Nothobranchius furzeri: one gene and its partner. The protein of the gene in region 1 interacts with the protein of each later gene in a pairwise test. Links are inferred from orthologs where the notes say so. Each region holds a gene or a part of one and is shown on either strand. Other genes may lie near its edges.

Region 1 (7,576 bases):
CAGTTGTGCTTTTTTCCCTTCAGTATTACTCACACGATCGTCCTCTTTTTCTCTGTACTTTTAACGTCAACTTGATGTCGTTGTGTTTTTTCCTCATCTTGATGTACTTTTGAGCCACTGATTGTATTTTTCAAACCTACATATCTCAGAACTGACAGTGGCCAGGAAATCAACAGATTTAGCAGAAGACATTATGAAAACTTCCGTTTTGTCATCACATCTTAAGGATTTTATATATATATATATATATATATATATATATATATATAATATATATATATAATATTAAACATCTAAGCCATCCACAGACTTTAACGTAGTTGTTGCTCCAAGTTGTTTCCAGATGGTCAACTACAGCTAAAAGGTGAGCTAGCCTCTTTACTAAAGATAGAGGATGACTTTGGTGGCTACTAAGTAGTTTATTGATGCAAAGGAATTGAGACAAGACCACCCTAGGACCTTCACATAACCTCGATAGCAATTGTGCAACCCACAGCACCATGTCACTGAGTTCTTGCTCTACTGTAGCTGCTTCTCGGTGGAAACCACAAAAAGGACGAGACGTCTGCTGCTAACATTAGCTACAACAACACAATCATGGTAGTCTACTCAAAGATGATAAAAACACACCAAAACACGGTTTATAGCGCAGGCATTTGAACTAACAGTAGGTGTTGGGTCAACGCTGCGTTTCAAACAAACAGCCGAATACGAATGGTGAAGAAACAGCCAAACTACTAGAAGCCGCTACTGCATCTGTCAGTGTCATCCACCATACGCTGCTGCCTGAAGAAACACCCACCAAACACTCATTAAAGGCTTCCTGTCACCTGTAATTGTTGATATTCCTTGTCAATGTCATTCCATTCTGCCTGGAAATGTTGCCTGGACATTGTGGTTCACTAGAGGGAGTTACGAAGAGGACGCTTCACAAGGTTCCTCGCTCCTCGACTCTTCCCCAAGCGGGCTCGCGCTCCGTCCGTCCCACTCAGAGGCGTTTTAATTGTACTGCTTGGCGCATGCGCACTTCCACCAGTCAGCTAAACGTTTATGATCTGATGGTGAACCCGCATAAAGTAAACAAACGCGCAAATAATAAACAAAAACAAAAATTTTCTCAGGCATCGGCAGCACCGTTTCTTCAGTTTCATTTCTTTTACTGATTCAATGTTTACAAAGTTTTGATTAAAGCCACACCAATCACAGCAGGCGTTACTGTTGCTAGGATACAACAAAACTGTTTTCTCAGCTTTAGATCAATCGGCATATATGGATCAAGAGGAAAGGTTAGACAAGTCTTCATTCTTCGGTAGCCCAATGGCGTTAGTTTATGTGCAGACTATTTAAGTGGGTCATCTGCGTGGACGCATCTCTAAGGCATCCTTCTTTTCAAGCTAAAAATTCGTTTTTGAGTGTATTTTCTGTCAACAAGCCGTTAAAGATCTGTTAAAAATAGATGTTTACACACGTATGTACGTACAGCTCATTTTCTAGTTTCAGTAAAAATACTTTTGTTTAGGCAAAGGCTATGTGTCCAAACTTTTCAAAACCAAAATAAAATCCTCAAGTTAAAAATCCTTGCATGCAGCAAAAATGTGATTTATTTAAAAGAAAAAGTAAAAAAAAAAACAATACATAAAATACTGCTCAAAATGGGCTGTATTTGTGGCAACTTTTAGAGATGCCACAAACACTCGCAAAACAAACTGGAAGGTTGTCACGTTCTAACATTAACTTTACTGTTTTGACAGTATAATTTTCACATTCTTACAACATGTTATCATGTTTGTGCAATATAAATGTCCCATTCATACAATATAATATGTACTGTATATTGTAAGAATGTGACATTATATTCTCCAAACGTGGTAAATATGCACAGACTTGAACATGCTATGGTAAGAACATGATAGTGTATTGTACAAACATGAACGTTAGATTGTTGGATCAATAAAATTATGATGTCTTAACGTGATATCACTCTAATTTTATTTTGCGAGGGTTGCAGCTCTACGCTTCAAACATATTAGTAAAAATGAACATGACATCTTCAGCATGCTGGAGAAACAAATCCTACAGTTCAAGAAATGAAATTTGGGCCACACAAAATCATTCTCGTGGCCTCAAATGGCCCCCGGGCCATGCTTTTGTTATACTTGCTGTAATGAGATTTATTATTTGTTTAATGACTGAAAATCAACTAATATCTTTTCATGATTTATTTTCTTACACAGAACGTCACCACACCTCCCCAAGTGATGCCAAATTACAAACTAACTAAGAAAACTTCAGTCTCAAGACTGAAAGAGATGAAATCACAGAAATGTGTACTTCGACACACAGTTTTCTCAGTCAACGGAAATCAATACAATGGAGAGTGGCTCAACAACAAGAAGCATGGTTGGATTTTTCTTTCTTTATTTGTTGAAAAACCATCATGTAAATTGAAAACTTTTATATTGTCCTGTGTTGTTTTTCAAGGCAAGGGAATTCAGGTGTGGAAACAAGCTGGTGCCATCTATGATGGGGAATGGAAATTTGGAAAACGTAATGGATACGGAACCTATAGCGTGTTACTCCTAAAATCAAAGGAGTATGTGAGGAAGTACGCTGGTGAATGGAAAAATGGGAAGAAGCATGTAAATGTCTCACAGTCTGTTACAACACACAAATCTAACATGAACACACGCTCTGTTTAGTATACTTTCGCTCTATGTCTTTTCAGGGTTATGGGGTGTATTTTTACAACAACTCGGCAGTCTATGATGGAGAGTGGAGTGAGGACCAACGTAGTGGTAAGGGAACGATGCACTATGAGAATGGCGACATCTATGTGGGAGAGTGGCAGATGGATAAAAGTCATGGGCAAGGACACTTATTCTGTAAGAGAATGTTGCTATACATACCTTTGATAAAAAATGAGCAGTTATTTGCACTCCCCCAATGAAAACATTTCCATCTTCTGTTGAAGCTAATGGAAAACTGTACGAAGGCACCTGGGAAGATGGCAAGATGAACGGCGACGGGAAGTTGTACTATTCTGAAAAAGGTCTGCTTTATGAAGGCTTTTGGGTTGATGGAGAAGCAAAATGTGGCACCATGATGGACTTTAGAAGGGACAAAGCCCCAGCACCACCGAAGTATCCATTTCCAAAGGTACGAGACCAAAGAATTCCCTTAATTTCTGCACCTATTTTGTAACATCAAAAGGCAAACAGACTGCATGGCGGCGCGGTCGGTAGCACTGTAGCCTTGCAGAAGAAGCTCACAGGTTCCAATCCAAGCTGAGGTCTTTCTGTGCACACTTAGCGTGTTCTGCACATGCATGTGTAGGTTTCCCACCACAGATCAAAAACATGCACATTAGCTCAACTGAAAACTTGAAATGGCCTCTTTGTTGTAAGTGAGTGTGTGACTGGTTGCCTGTCTCATTTGTCCCTGCGTGTCCCTGTGATGGAGTTGTGGACAGTCCAGGGTGGCCCCTGCCTTCCAACGGGTTATTACTTGAGTTAGGCACCAGCTCCCTGCAACCCTAATAAGGAATAAGCAGTTCACATAAAGGATGGATGAAAAACTATCCCTTTTCAAATGCCACCCTAATTTTTCAAACACTAATTTCTTTCCTCCCTTTCAAGCTACACTTGAAGGACGTGGAATCGGTTTTAAGGGAAGCCAAATCAGCCTGCCTGGATCACTGCTGTCAACAATCATCAAGAGGATAAACAAGTTTGTGCTTCATCAAAAATAAATAAATGCCAAAAAAATTAACGATGCATTCAGCATACTTCTTTTCTGTAACCCTGTAATCTGCTAATTTGAAAAGTAGAAATTAACATGTTTATTCTATCTGTTACTACTGTTAATATTTGAAATTACCTCATTAGTAACGTGAACTAGATTAACATGTAAAGCTAACCTGATGCAACCCAAATACAAGATCATGAAACTTGGCTTGTGATTGAATGCAATCTACTGAAAAGGCTGTTTTGCTGAATTGATCAAATAAATAATAATCATACTTTTTAAAGAATCTCCAACATATTTATGCTGATGACATTCAACAGTACATCTCCTTTAAACCCTATGAGATGTCATTCTACTGAAACAGCTCCTCTTAGACTCTCTAATGACCTTCAGAGTCACAGTGATGCAGGGGACTGTTCTGTTCTGGTTCTGCTGGACCTGACTGTTGATTATTACCTGCTACTGGATAGGCTGAGAGACTGGGTAGGCCAACTGCTCTGGAGGGTTTTTTCTCTTATCTATCTGAGCGTTCCTTATCATGACCGTTTCTATGTTTGCCCTCCTCCACCTCTCTCACCCATGGTGTCCCACAAGGCTCTGTGCTGGGACCACTACTATTCCTCCTTTATCTGCTTCCTCTCTAGCAAATCCTGAGCTATTTTAAAGGAATCTTCCCTCTTTATGCAGATGACACCCAACTGGACATCTCCTTCAATCTCCAAGAGATGCCTAAGCTGCAACTATTACACACTTGCTTAGACTCTTTTAAAAACTGGATGGCTAGGAATGTTCTACTGCTGAATGATGACAAGGCTGAGATCCTCATCTGGTTCCCAACCTGATTCCCAAAGTCAGAGCCTCTCTTGTGCCACTTACACACTAGCATGGCCTCCACTCCGTGCCACCTACCCCAGCCCAGCCACGTTTGTTCCACACTGCCTTAGCAATATGGACGTAATTGAGCATGTGGGCGGTATGTGGTCTGTGATGTTGCAAGCGCACGTGGGCGGGGAATATGATCGAGAAGTCTGCGGTGTCTCCATTATTAAACAAAGTAGCCTGAGCAGTCTTGCTTTTGGAGACTCTCTGACTCTGATATTACATCCTGCTTTGATGTGTCTGGCAGCATTGTGTGTGCGCATGCCTCACAGCAGAGAGCAGAGAAAAATGGCTTCAGTCAGAGGCTCGTTAACTCCACAGCATCCAGAATGATAATGAATCACGCATGCAGGAAGCCCCCGTGGGCTGATTATGTCTGCCAGTCGGAGGCTACCCCTAATGGTATGCATGCTTCAGTCAGCAATGGGTGTGTTGGACCAGTTTGGCTCCAGGCAAACCTCCTTGAGAAGAGGGTTGAAAATACGTACGGTTACGCACAGAATAATCCAAGGCTACATAAATGAGAACTCCCCCAACCTGGCCAGGCAGAGTAGAGCTGATGCTAGTGTGTAACGGCCATTGGTCAGCTTGCTTCTAAAGCTGGGCAGACACTGTGCAACTTTTTTCACTCGTAGCACTCAGCTTCAGCTCAAACTGTACGACTTCATCGCAGGGCAGATCTCATGAGCCATGTGCTCACACTGTACGACCCAGTTCTCGGATGCGACCTGACTGCTCACACTGTACGTCTGGTAGCAACAAGTCGGACCAAAAAATATGCTAAAAATAGCAGTTTTTACACAACACGTCAGACTTTTTTTGTCTTGCCTGTTGTCCTTTGGGAGTGCTGCAGGAGGACACAGGGATTTATGGGGGTTGGATGAGGAAAACAAAATAAAGAAAGTAAATCTGTGTTTTGTGATCAGTTTAATTTGACATGAATACGACAAACACGCTTTCTTGACAATCTCTGTGAGTAAAAAAAAGTGTAGAAATAAAAACGAACAATGTGTGCTATTAGGGAAATAGTGGGCGAGCGGCGTTGATGCATGATTGAGCATGCGCCGTGAGTGGTTCTGATACTTTTTGGGTCGCAGCTGCTCGCAGCATCACTTCAACAGTGCGATACCCTCACGAGGGACGAGCAAAATATCAAACATGCCAGAAGTCCGTGCGAGCTCACGATTGCTGATGGGTAGCTGGTCACGTGGTGTTAATCGCCTCTCGTAACCCCCTGTGCACTACACGACGCTCAGCGCAAAACTCGCCCCGATCTTGTGGATTCTTGCACGAGTGGAAAATCGGGTCAAAAAAGTGAAAAAGTCGCACAGCGTATGCCCGGCTTAATACCAAACCCCCTGTCAAGAATCTCGGTGTGACCTTTGACCCAGCACTCACCCTGGATCACCCATGTCAATTATTTTGTTCAAGTGGAGGAGTTTAAGCATCTCTGGGTCTTTTCCACGAGTGGGGGAAAGATGGAGGACAAGATCGACAGGCGGATTGGTGCTGCGTCTGCAGTGATGTGAGCGTTGTAACGATCTGTCAGGGTGAAATTAGAGCTGAGCCAGAAGGCAAAGCTCTCGATTTACCAGTTGATCTACGTTCCAACCCTCACCTATGGTCACAAGCTTTGGTGACCGAAAGAAAGATTGTGGATACGAGCGGCCAAAATGAGTTTCCTCTGCAGGGTGGCCGGGCTCTCCCTTACAGATAGGGTGAGGAGCTTGGTCATCCAAGAGGGGCTCAGAGTAGACCCGCTGCTCCTCCACATCGAGAGAAGCCAGTTGAGGTGGCTCGGACATCTAGTTAGGATGCCTTCTGGATGCCTCCATAGTTAGGTTTTCCTGGCATGTCCATCCGGGAGAAAACCCAAAGGAAGACCCAAAATAGGCTGGAAGGACTATGTCTGTCGACTGGCCAGGGAATGCCTTGGGATTCCCCCGGAGGAGCTAGCCCAAGTGGCTGGGGAGACGGAAGTCTGGGCATCCCTGCTTAAGCTGGGCAGACACTGTGCGACTTTTTCACCTTTTTTTTCCACTCGTGTAAGAATCCACAAGATCGAGGCAAATATTACGCTGAGCATCGTGTAGTATACAGGGGGTAACGAGAGGCGATTAACACCACGTGACCAGCTACCAATCAGCAATCATGAGCTTCTTGCATGTTTGATATTTTGCTCGTCCCTCGAGAGGGTTGAAGCAGCGCTGCAAGCGGGTCGAATCCAAAAAGTACCAGAACTGCTCACAGCGAATGTGCAAGCATGTGTCAACACGGCTCGCCAGCTATTTCCCTGCTAACATGCGTCGTTTATTTTCATTTGTGCACTTTTTTACGCACACAATGACAAGGATTATCAAGAAAGCATGTTTGCCGTGTTTATGTCAAATTAAACTGATCACAAAACACTGATTTACTTTCTTTCGTTTTCCTCCTCCATCCCCCATAAATCCCTGTGTGTCCTCCAACAGCATTCTCATCCTAAAGGACAACAGACATCAGTAACAACACAAAAAAAGTCAGGCGTGTTGTGTAAAAACTGCTGTTTTTTATCATATTATTAGGTCCAACGTGCTGCTACTCGACATAGTGTGAGCAGTCAGGTCGCATCCGAGAAATGGGTCATACGGTGTGAGAACATGACTCGTGAGATTTGCTCTGCTAGGAAGTCGTACAGTTTGAGCTGAAGCTGAACGCTACGAGTGAAAAAGTCACAGTGTCCGCTCAGCTTTAGGCTACTGCCCTTGCGACCCAACCCTGGATAAGCGACCAAAAATGGATGGATGGAGTTCTTTTGTTCGCTCTTCCTTCTTTCATCTCTGGAACATTGCTAAAGTGAGTCCCATTCTGTCATGCTCTGAACTTGACATTGTTATTCACACCTTCATTTTCTCCTCTTTAGACTACTGCAACTCTGTCTGAGCAAAACCTCCTCGAAATGTTCAGGTAGCTC
Region 2 (11,461 bases), on another chromosome or scaffold:
AACATAGCCAGAGCTCATGTTATAAGCAATTCAATTCAAGTTTATTTATAAAGCGCCAAATCACGACAAAAGTCGTCTCAAGGCACTTCACATAATAAACATTCCAATTCAGGTCAGTTCATTAAGCCAATCAGAAATAATGTTTCCTATATAAGGAACCCAGCAAATTGCATCAAGTCACTGACTAGTGTCAGTGACTATACAGCAATCCTCATACTAAGCAAGCATAAAGCGACAGTGGAGAGGAAAACTCCCTTTTAACAGGAAGAAACCTCCAGAGAATCCCGGCTCAGTATAAGCAGCCATCCTCCACGACTCACTGGGGATCGAGAAGACAGAGCAGACACACACACACACACACACACACGCACGCACACAAAGACAAGTAATGTGTCTACACTTATATTGTGATGTTTTAGTAAATATTCTATTTGGTGAAAGATAAACTTTATTGTATTTATCCTAGTGGATCTATAATTAAACGGATAAAACAGTTGTAGCACATCCAACGTCAAGGAAAGCAAAAAGTTATTATCAGGAGAGGGAGAATGTTTAAGTGGTTAGCAGCAGTGTGCTAGTCGATGGCCCCCTCCATGAGGCCACCACAAGCAATTCTGTTATGATCTGAGATTAAAATTCAGGAAGCAGTTCTGTATAGAAATTTGTCAAATACAAATAAAAAATATGTCATATGAATAGACTTGTCCAAGTGCAGGTCACAAGTGTTGTTTTATTGCTTTTATTTTGCTTTTTGTTTTTACATTTTTCCGGGGAGGGGGGGGGGGGGGGGGGGGGACCGGAGCTCCTGGAGAAAAACACAACATAAAAACTCCGCACTAAAAGATTCCAATTCATTTCAGTTCAGTTTATTTAAACAGCACCAATTCACATTTCAATTCACCGCAAGGCATTTTACAAAGCTAACTTTCCGATTGAACTTATTAAGCAGTGCATTAAGTTCAGTTCATTTTTCCAATCAGTTAAAAGTTTCCTAAATAAGGAACCCAGTGGATTGCATCGAGTCACTGACTAGTGTCAGAGGCTTTACAGCAATCCTCATACTAAGCAAGCATGTGGTGACGGTGGAGGGGAAAACTCCCCTTTAACAGCCGTCTGTCACGACTCACTGGGGGGTTTGAGAAGACAAGTCCTTTCTCTTAAAGAGAGTACAAAGGTAATAGTAGGAGGGGTTTCCCCCAGAAAACTAGCTGAGCCTGGCAGACTATGAGAAGGGGGCGGGGTATGCACGGGAGGCCAAGCAAGGCCTGGTGGTCCGCCAGGCTTATAAAGCACTGGGGGGAAGCCTGGATGACATCACCGGAAAGTTTTTTAACACCAAAGTGTAAAAAACACCACTTAAAACTACTCAACCGACGTCGGAGTTTTACCCGCGCAGCAGACAGAAGCCGCGATCAGACAGAGATGCACCAAGCTGCGGGGAGGGGAGAAACAGGTGGAAAACATCGGTCTCCTGAGAGCTCCATGAGCCGATAGTCGGAACCCAGCTCCACCAACATGTTATATTTCAACCCATTTTCTAAAGTGCAGCATTATGTTAAATGCACTGGGTTTACCCTATTACATTTAAATTTCATGGTTTCGGATGCTCATTAATAAGAAAAATAAATATAAAAAATGTCCACACAATGAGATGAGTCCAGAGCTTTTCTGAATTTCTCCGTGTATATGAGCAGCTCCATGGCATAGGACATCAGCTGCCTCTCACTAATGAGACAAAGATAAATAGCAATTAGTAAAAATGACATTTACACCTAGAGGCTGTCATAAACAACGTGAAAACAATACATATAGGCATTAGCACTGTTCTTGTGTTTGTAGCATACCTCCGGGCTACCACATTGCCGTCGTGAGTTTGCTGCTTATTAGATGAGGAGTCATAAACGGTCAAATAAATAGCCTATTGTTACGTTTATTTTGGCCAAAAGGCTTGCAAGTAGCCCATTAAAAATTATATTAAAAAAATTTGCATCCATGACATCTTCCCCCACTGCCAATAATGCTTAATTTTATATAAAAGTGTTTCAGAAAAAAAATACGAATGTGCTATCTATCAAACTATGTCTTAAACGTTCAAATTTCTAGTACAAAATCTTCGCAAGTTGTAAAAATATAAATCTGACTTTACCTGAACCGTCATTTCCATCTCTTGCAACACGCATGCGAGTTCTCGTCTTCGTACATGCACGCGTACAAATTTTGTACATAGGGGCGTGTTTGGCCGGGGCGTGTTTGGCCGGGGCTGCGTCCGCAGCTAGACCTTACTCGCATTGTGGGGGCTTGATTGGGACACATGATGGAGCTAAGACCAGCTGAGAACTCGTCAGCTTAGAGCTCCCAGTGGAGCACAGAAAATAAATATTTAAGAAAGGTAAACAAACTGTACCAATTTTGTTTCTGAAGATGAACAGAATCCTCCTCTATGTCCAAATCGGGTCGCAGGTCTTCTGAGTCAAACGGTCTAAAACATGTCTGCACCTCTGGCAGAGGCGGATTTAGCAATTTGGGGTGCCAAAGCAAACACAGACATGGGGCCCCTTACACTAAATTTTCGACAATCTTACCTTTAACTAGATTTGTGAAACTCTCCCCTCTTCTGACATGAGTTATTTCCCTTTTCCTGTATTTCCCTCTCTTTGAGCGCTTTCAATATTTGCTCTTCTTTCTTCTTCCTGTCAGTGCTCCTGTGCTTTTGCCTTTGGTATTTTTTTCTATTTTCCATTTTGGTCTATGTTTTCCTCCCTTTTCCATTGTCTTTCCTTTCTGCTTCCTTTTGATGTTTACATCGAAAAACGATGTCAATTTCAGAAGTGAAAATAAAAGCTTTTATGAAGCAAGCTGCTTCTTTCTCTTATTGGAGCCACTAGGATAACGCCATTTCATGCTTCATGTTTTGACTATCGCTTTGAGTTTGTTACGAACGCCCCTGCCTCTCTTCTTCTTACTATTTGTGGTCTTATGGCACTTGGCAAACAACCATTTGGTGCATTACCGCCACCAACTGGATTGGAGTGGAATGACTACCAATCACTTCCTGTTTGTGCATCACCGTCTTAATAACCCTGTTATGACCATAATTATAACAGGGCCGCCTGGTATTTTTTTTAATCTTATGGCTGTAAAATAGTAATAAAAAGTGCAAAGTGTGTGTAACTCTTATTTTTTCAGAACAACCTCAGCTTTCAGTGTATGGTTTGTATTTAGAATTTATTTCTATTACAGCCTTTCAAAAATCAGCTTAAAAGTGAAAAAAGCAAAAAACGGATTTGAATTTTTTACATTTATTACTGAACAGGAACTTCAAAATTACTGGGTGAACAATTTAAACTTTGGACTGAAATGCATCTATTCTTAAAAAGTGTGAACCTTGGTATCTTTTATTAGCAGTTTTTAAGACCATTTATTTTTGTAAACTTTCAGACATTTTTATTTGATGTGGTAGACCTTGAAGCAGTTTCTCTCCAGCTGCAGGCCGAGTCCTGCACACCTCACACTGCCATAGAGTGCTTCTCTTGCACACCGTGCATTGCTATACCAAAAACTTGTTTTAGTAAAAATAATTATTTATTGTAAAATGATAAATAATGCTGGAATGAAGCTGAATCTTACAATTAGCAAATAGTTGAGGGTTGTTCCAATAAAAAAATAAAAAATAAAGACGGAACAAACATTCATACCCTGGTTCACTGGAGATCTGTCCTTCGTGGTCACTGTCTTCAGATATAAGCCTTCTGGGACACCTAATAGATCGTGTTGATTTTCTTTGGGGCATTTCCATAATTTCATGCTGGTTTTATGCTAATTAGCTTCCCCGTTCCGTTATCCGCTTTCACCGCGGCACTGCGCTCCTTTTCAATCAGGCTGTACAGCAGGATTTCCCCTCGTAGCAATATTTTCCGTAACTCTGATTGATTCATGCTATAGGTCGTTGGAAAGCTGCTTTTATGTACGTTTAGGAACCGTTGGAATGTTCTGAATCTGATCATCCACTCAAAAGTTATAAAACGGAGCATTTTGGATGACAAACTCAGCACGTCTCTGAATCTGTGTTGTGATTCGTTGCGCTCAAGACAGGGAATGCCGGTGGCTACCGTAATGTATTGTATATGCACGAAAAGCCCCATTTTTAATCTTTTCAGCACTTTTGGAATTTTAATGATATCTTGAATTGTTCAGGAATTATGGTAATGAGAAGTGTGCATGTCCAATCCCGTCTGCGGCCACAGGTTGGTAATAAGAATATTGTGGCATTAACAGAGGGGTGCCGGCGGTCAGGGCTAGGGGGCCCCCCAACACAAGGGGGCCCCAGGCGGCCGCCGACCTATGCCTAATGGTAAAACTGCCTCTGACCTCTGGTAGTGATATCCAGCTGGCGGGGTCGGGGTTCGGTTGAACGTCTCCGGTAATCCAATATCCGTTCTCGTCGCCGTATCCCAGAGAAAAAACAAATCTGACCGACTAGCAGAGGCTTCAGAAGCTACATCTGATTGATGACACATTGTTCTCTGCTATAACGCTAATGCAGAAACACCGGAGACAGGCGTTGTTTACTACAGCTGTTTCAGCAGAGCTCCATGTGAAACGTCACCAGCTGCCCAGGGCTTAGACCGGATGTTAGTTTCTGTTTTTCCCGCGCCGGTCACAAACATCAGATTTTCTTACAATTCCAGCCGTCAAAATCCAAAAACCTTTTCATCTGAGGTTTTAATACACATTTACACATGCTGTTCAAACGAATTTTGCCTCTAGCCGATATCTTTAAATGAGTGAGTGAACCCACTACCAAGGATGAACTCTGCTAACTTTAAAAATCAGCTGCTCTAAATAGGTCAGAGAGGAGCTCTAGGATGGACATGGATAAAGGAACTGTAGTGTAGAGGTAAAGTAGGGCAGGGCCAACGTTAGCAGCTGTCATACGGTCCATCTGAAATGTTTGACTGCATTAGGCTTGTTATGTGACAGGTTAGAGCACAGTCTCATGTTAGTGTTGTCATGAGAACATTGAGATACCTCACATACTGATGGCATCTAAAAATTAACATTTTTTTTCAATATAAAGAATAATTTAAATCACAATTGAAACGTACAATCCTAGAAAAACCTCATCCAATCAATGTGCATGTCCTGTTCTCACTGATTGGATAGAAATCCTTCCATCAAACTGTGTGTGTGTCCGTGTGTGTGCGTGCACACACGAGCATGTTGTGAACTGGTGGTGTGGTTTTGCACTGATGTAACCATCTTTACACTGACAAAAATGTAACTAAGTAACTTTTACTTTGAGTACATTTTATTTACGATACTTTTTACTTTTACTTGAGTAAAAATTTAGGCAAGTACTTTTACTTGTACTTGAGTAAAAAATTATCAAAGTACTGGTACTCATACTTAAGTAGGAAATTTTAGTACTCTTTCCACCTCTGGTCATTCCTTTAAACAGTAAAACAACAACAACAACAAATAAAATAAGATGGAGAAGTCATAGTTTGTAGAGCAGTGAGGACCCTCATGACCCCAAATCCTCACCTCTCACTTCCCTGTTATACAAAAATGTAATTTAGAATTTTGTAAACAACATGTAACGAAAAATAGAGATAATATTCAAGGTTGTAATAATTTCATAAGAACGAAGATGTGAGATGTGGTTGAGGATCTGAGATAAATTAAGACACACACACACACACAGAGAGAGGGAGAGAGAGAGAGAGAGAGAGAGAGAGAGAGAGAGAGAGAGAGAGAGAGAGAGAGAGAGAGAGAGAGAGATGATGTTTATTGACAGACCAGGTGGACCTCATTGTTTTCCAGGTAGAATGACTCTACAGTAATGCGCTCTCGTTGCTCATCTTACCTTGATCACGTGGTACGGTTGGTTGCCACGACAACTCCAAATGAGCGGCAACAACAGGCAGTGTTTATCCAGCAGTTTCTTCTGCGTTCTTCTTCTGGAGTAAAGCCAGCTTGTCTCGGACAATGTCGGACGTAGGATCCGATGAGCTCGACGAAGGAAGTCCTGACGGCAGGGTGAGAGACTTCAGTAAAGTTAGCAAGATATTCACAGATTCGACTTTTGCGGCTCAATACCTCCTGAACACAGGGGTATTTAGAAACATAACATACCTCTTTGGTATCGTGGCAAGGTAGTGAGCAAGCTACAACTTCGTTTCTTTAAAAAAAAATCCGTTCTCTGTCGTGCTCTGCTCCCGACGCGTTAATTGATCTCAATGAGGCCGACAGAGCAAAACGAGCGCTCAGGGACCGTCAGCAAATAATCACACCAGAAACGTTTGATGATAAACTATGTGGGAAAAGTGCACAGTTACACACTGCAGTGTGACCAAATTCACAAAATACAACACTGCACACACGCTGATCACACTACACTATTTAGTTTAATCCAGGTATACAGTTTAGATTTAGTGTGAAACTTTTAATAATATAAATTGCAAAAGCTCCTCCATTTGAAACTATAGTGACACCAAATTCACACAGAAAATCACAACTTGGATGCTCATATTACACATTTTATGTTTTTAGAGAAAATACTACACTTTTCTTTACTCCCTCCCCTCTGCTTTTGGTGATATTAAATTAAAAAAAACTCCTATACTGTAAACTCTGTTGACACAAAATTATGCATGCAGGTCAATACTTAGCTGCTCTATGTACTACAAACTTTACTTTGAGCAAAAAATACTTCTCTGATTTTTTGTAAATTTTTTAAGTTTTCTCATTTCAATAGGTCTGTAAACACTGTAAACTCTGTTGACACAAAATCATGCGTTCAATCCACGGATTCTGTCAGAAACGAATGAATCTTTGGAAGTGATCTCCGACCCACAAAAACCTACGGATCTGGATGAAGAGAGTCAACCCTCAACCGCCGCAGCAGTCCAGGGTTTTGCCGCTGGAAACGCTAACGCTAAAGTTAGCTAGCCTTGCAACACTATAGATGGTTTTCTGTGTGGCTGTATGTGTTTATGATTTCATGGAAAAGTCAGCGATTGTTCATATGTGTATGATGTGTATTAATGATCCTGTTTGTCCTCTGCGTTCTCCTCATGTGTCTCCTGTTTCCCAGCTTCTCAGGTCTCCCCTAGTCACCCCTCTGTAGTTTTATTTTCTATAGGTTCAGCTTTTCATTTAATTACTTCCCTTTAGTGTTTGTGTCCTTCCCCACTTGTTAATCAGTCTCCCTTACTCCTCTTGTCATTAGTTGTTTATCTTTGCCCTTAGTTTCTAGTTATTTAGAGTTTTTTAGGTTATTTTATCTTCCCCTCTGCTTGATTTTTCCTTCACATTTAGTTAAGGTTGAATACACCTGTTCCCCTGATTGCTTCCCTCTGTGTTAAAAGCCGGTCTTGTCCTTCAGTGTTTGTTGGGTCATTGTCGTATGTGTTGCGTTGTTCGTTCCCCTCTCGAGTCTCCGAGTCCATGCTCATGTGTGAGCTTTTTTAATTTAGAGTTTTCAAGTTTTTGCATGTTAGTCTTATTTTGTGCTTTGGACTTTACAGCACATCCTCCTTAAATAAAGGAATTGTTTGGTTTTTTTCTTAAAACCTCTCCTGCCTTTGAGTAGTTCTGGGTACTTCTGCATCCTGGGTCCAAGCTCCTCTCCTAAACGTGACAGAGTTTTATACCTCAGACCGACCCGATTTAGATCTAGACCTGCTAATAATAATATTCTTTACACTAAACAGAGTATTCTGTATTGTTCACAGACATCCAAACCTTAGAAATGAAATAAAATAAATATTTTAATTAAAAATTATTAATGTTATTTTTTTCATTAAAATTTAGCTATCTGTGACCACTTTTATATTTGATATTGTCCAGTTTAAGCAGACATCTGCTTTTTATATCAGAGCTGAGCTGTGGGAGAAAATATTCAGGCTTATTTAATCTTATTTTCTATCATCTTTGGGGTTAGTGCATTCATTTAATATTAATTATATAATTATAAATGACAGGTCACTACAGTCTGGGCATAGAACGTGCTGTGGGCATTTTCTGTTATTCTTAAAGAAGGAGTCGGAGACGGAGTTCTCAGCCTAGCCTAGTTTGGAGTCACATCAAGTTCACTGTTAGCAAGTACGATAAGCACCTGGCTTTTACTAGAGGCAGAGCAGACCAAAACAGGAAATTCCTTTGGAGCTGATTGTTGAGATGCACACGAACTCTTGCTCAATAAGCTTTTCACCCTAAGAACGCAGTTTCAGCTCAATACATTTTGTAGATGACCTCTTGACCTTTTTGGCGCCGACAGTGCTTGTTGGCAGCAGCTCACCTGTTCCACTGACAGGAGAAACAGGTGATCAACAGAGTAACACTAGCCCAAAAAAAAAAACCCAAAAAACACCGAACTCAAACGGGGCAATTTTCCCAGTCGGGGCCTGGTTCCGCCTGCCGTCCCCGTTAGAGAGGAGCTGCTCATCATGTTATTGTGACACCAGAGCTTTGCTCTGTTGGCGCTCGTTAGTGCGACTATATTCTACAAAGTTTTCATAAATAAGCACAACTTAGATCTGTGGCTCATATTAAACAAAAACCGGACTGTACCGCGGGAGCGAGCTTGCAATTAGGTGTTGGGTGGTGTAATTAGCTGTTGCAAACTGGTGCAAAGTGGTGAGGAAGCGCATTTCAACTACAGAACTGACCGGAATACTGACATAACACCGGTGGTCAAAGGTGCAGGTTTCAATTAGCAACAGGAGAGAGAGGGGGAGAGGTCAAACACAGCAAGAGAAACACTGAGGGACCGGACTTATAGTGAAGTTTTAGAGCTAAACTGCAGAAAAAAATGTTTGTGTTTAACCTCGTCATTAGAAAGTATAGCGTTAACTTTTAATGATAAGGCGGAGCGGCCTTTTGAGGCCTCGATGCAGGGGTGCGCTCTGGAGGGCCCTCGGTCAACCCCCTCCCCCTTTGGTAGGTGGTGGACCCATCTCAGGGTGAAGGTTTTCAGGTGCAGAGACGACGCAGACACTAGGGCGGTCACTGGCGCTGTTGTTGTTAACAACACCTACGGTAGAAATAAGGTCCTGGGGGAGCTCCATGGTCAACGGTTGAGTCAACTGGGTCCAGAGCTTCCACCCACAGATGTCAACAATGAGCTTAGAGCAATTGAGCAGGTATTCGCCAAACAGTAAAGTTAAAGACTCTAGGTCAGACATGAACACTGGGTGTTGCATGGACCGAAAGGTCAAAGAAAGCCACAGACGACAAGGTCACTGGAGCCGGAGCATAAGGACTGACATCCACGGCACAGGATGTGAGTGTTACGACACGACCCTGTCCAGCTGCAGCCAAGCGGAGGCATTCCCAAAGTAGGGCTGGCCGATATGGCCTAAAATCAGTATCATGATATGTTGAGGATTTCACCTCGATAACGATAAATGAACGATAACTACAGGTATGCGCAGAAACAAAAGTTGTCCATTAGACGGGGCTGTCACATGTATTACGTTGAGTCACATTTTTACATGACTCAAGGTGGTGCAGCTTTGACACGAATGTTGCCAACCTACACACATCTTTTCATTTTTTTATTATCAAATTTATTGACATGGGAACATTTTTCCCGATAAGAGTCAGGAATTTTGATGATGATAAATGTTTTGATTTATTGCCCAGCCCTATCCCAAAGAGAATGGGACATGATGGAAATGTCTGAGTCAGTGTCTAAGATAGCATCACAGGTTAGCGACCCCTCAAGGGTCACAGGGAAGGTTTCTGTTTGGGACCTTTACAGATGACATCTCAGAGAAGTCTTAGTTGAGGTTTGTCCAGCGGGAAAGGTTTACTTCACCCACTGACAGGTGCATTGGATGTTCGAGGACTGGTGCTGATGGACGCAACCTCACTGGACCCCACTGGGGTCACAGGTGTCACAGGATGCACCATTGGGGCCGGTTCCACTTTTGGAGGACTCATCGCTTTGACTGAGTCATGTTCTGGTCTGCAGAAGAGATGAGCAGAACTTTAGCCTTTGGTGAGGTGCTTACCCAATCAGAAAAGACAGACTCCAGGATGCAGCTCAGAACGTCAGGAGGCCTGTTACCGGACTCATCTCTTGACCTTGGAGCAGTAGTGCTGTGGTCGGCATGGTCACGGCGCGGTGAATAATGGTAAGGGCGAGGGCGGTGTTCACCAACGTGCTGAACGTGGGCTCCTTTTAGTACTCACTGAATCTTTAGCAGAGGGGGAGTGTTTGAACCGAGAGGGTTTCCGGTACTTCAACCCCAGATACTGCTTCATGGACTAATGGTGACTGACGTAGTGGGAATGTAAAAAAAAACTTTTAAAAGCCGTATTTAGGGGCAGACACGGTAGATGTGAGCGTGAAAGTCACAGTTGATATGAATATTCCACAAATTCCAGCCATCTGGTCTACATGAGGAATTTTCCTTGGATCAAATAATCTTGACATACAAGGGGAGGTAACCCTGAAGGGGAATAAGCCCAAAAACCCTGAGGAATATGGGTATGAAGCATTTCTTTTGAGTCAGGCCAAAAAATATATAAAAAAATATTTACATAAACAATGTACAATTCAATAAAATAATAACTTTATGTATGTATACATAAATAAAAATATAAAACTAAAATGTAAATTTCTGAATAAGAAGGAATGTCTGTAAAAAATGATTCCAATGTGGCAGCCTGATGTCACAATAAGCTAATTAAATGACTGATTTTGCCCCCAACACAAACTACTACTGCTGAAGATTTTTCTCATTTACAATTTACCTTTATCTCCAACCATTTAAAGCTACAACCATTTGTCAAAATGTACAGTAATATTTTCTTGAAAAAACTCCAGCACCGTCTTCTCGCGTCTCTTTTGGCAGTGTATGGCGGACTGCCTCGTTGACTGACATGCGTGGCGGTTAATACATCATGTTGTTTGTTGTTCAATAGCATGCTTAGACAGTTTGAAAGGCAACTGTACAATCACCACACGACTGAGAGCAGTCAGTGGGTCATCGCCAGACTTTATGTATTCACATTTATAGAATAAAATAGGATAGAATACTTTATTTGTCAATTTCTTCGAATGTGCTTGCCATACAAAGGAATTGAAATTACATTTCACACTGTCCCATGCATAGACATTGACAACATAAAGTGCAGATGCACAACAATAACAAAAACATCCCTAACAAAAAGATAATATTAAACAGGTAAATATCGCTAAAAATATACAAAAACATATAGCAGCAGGTGTGTGCAACTGCAATGCAGAGGTAGTTGTTTACAATCAGAAATGTTTACCCCGTTCTTGGTTCAACCACTATTTCCTTTTTGTATAATGTGCATGTATATGGGGGTGGGGGGGTGGGGGGGGGGGGGGTTGTGTAGGGTCCAGTCTGTCATCCTATACTCCTGTCACCCTGGTGATTCTGCTGGCTAGGATCCGTGAGGGAAGAGAGTTCAGCAGTCTCAC

The links. The genes of interacting proteins can lie anywhere in the genome.
Region 2: the proteins of morn3 (region 1) and rsph1 interact in binary tests that used the Homo sapiens proteins (3 or more experiments, as listed by UniProt). The two-hybrid records come from large-scale screens. The link is inferred for Nothobranchius furzeri from reciprocal best matches to the Homo sapiens genes MORN3 and RSPH1.

Annotation. Positions count from the first base shown.
Region 1 is NC_091746.1:51,960,321-51,967,896, reverse strand, and holds morn3 (MORN repeat-containing protein 3), read left to right. Parts: upstream 1-1,156; 5' UTR 1,157-1,286; intron 1,287-2,234; 5' UTR 2,235-2,258; coding exon 2,259-2,400; intron 2,401-2,481; coding exon 2,482-2,639; intron 2,640-2,725; coding exon 2,726-2,882; intron 2,883-2,971; coding exon 2,972-3,156; intron 3,157-3,635; coding exon 3,636-3,722; 3' UTR 3,723-3,768; downstream 3,769-7,576. Other genes in the region: tmem120b (transmembrane protein 120B), read right to left, coding at 831-893. UniProt on the Homo sapiens protein: Assembles a suppression complex (suppresome) by tethering SIRT1 and MDM2 to regulate composite modifications of p53/TP53.
Region 2 is NC_091756.1:21,499,742-21,511,202, forward strand, and holds the start of rsph1 (radial spoke head 1 homolog), read left to right. Parts: upstream 1-5,849; 5' UTR 5,850-5,988; coding exon 5,989-6,039; intron 6,040-11,461.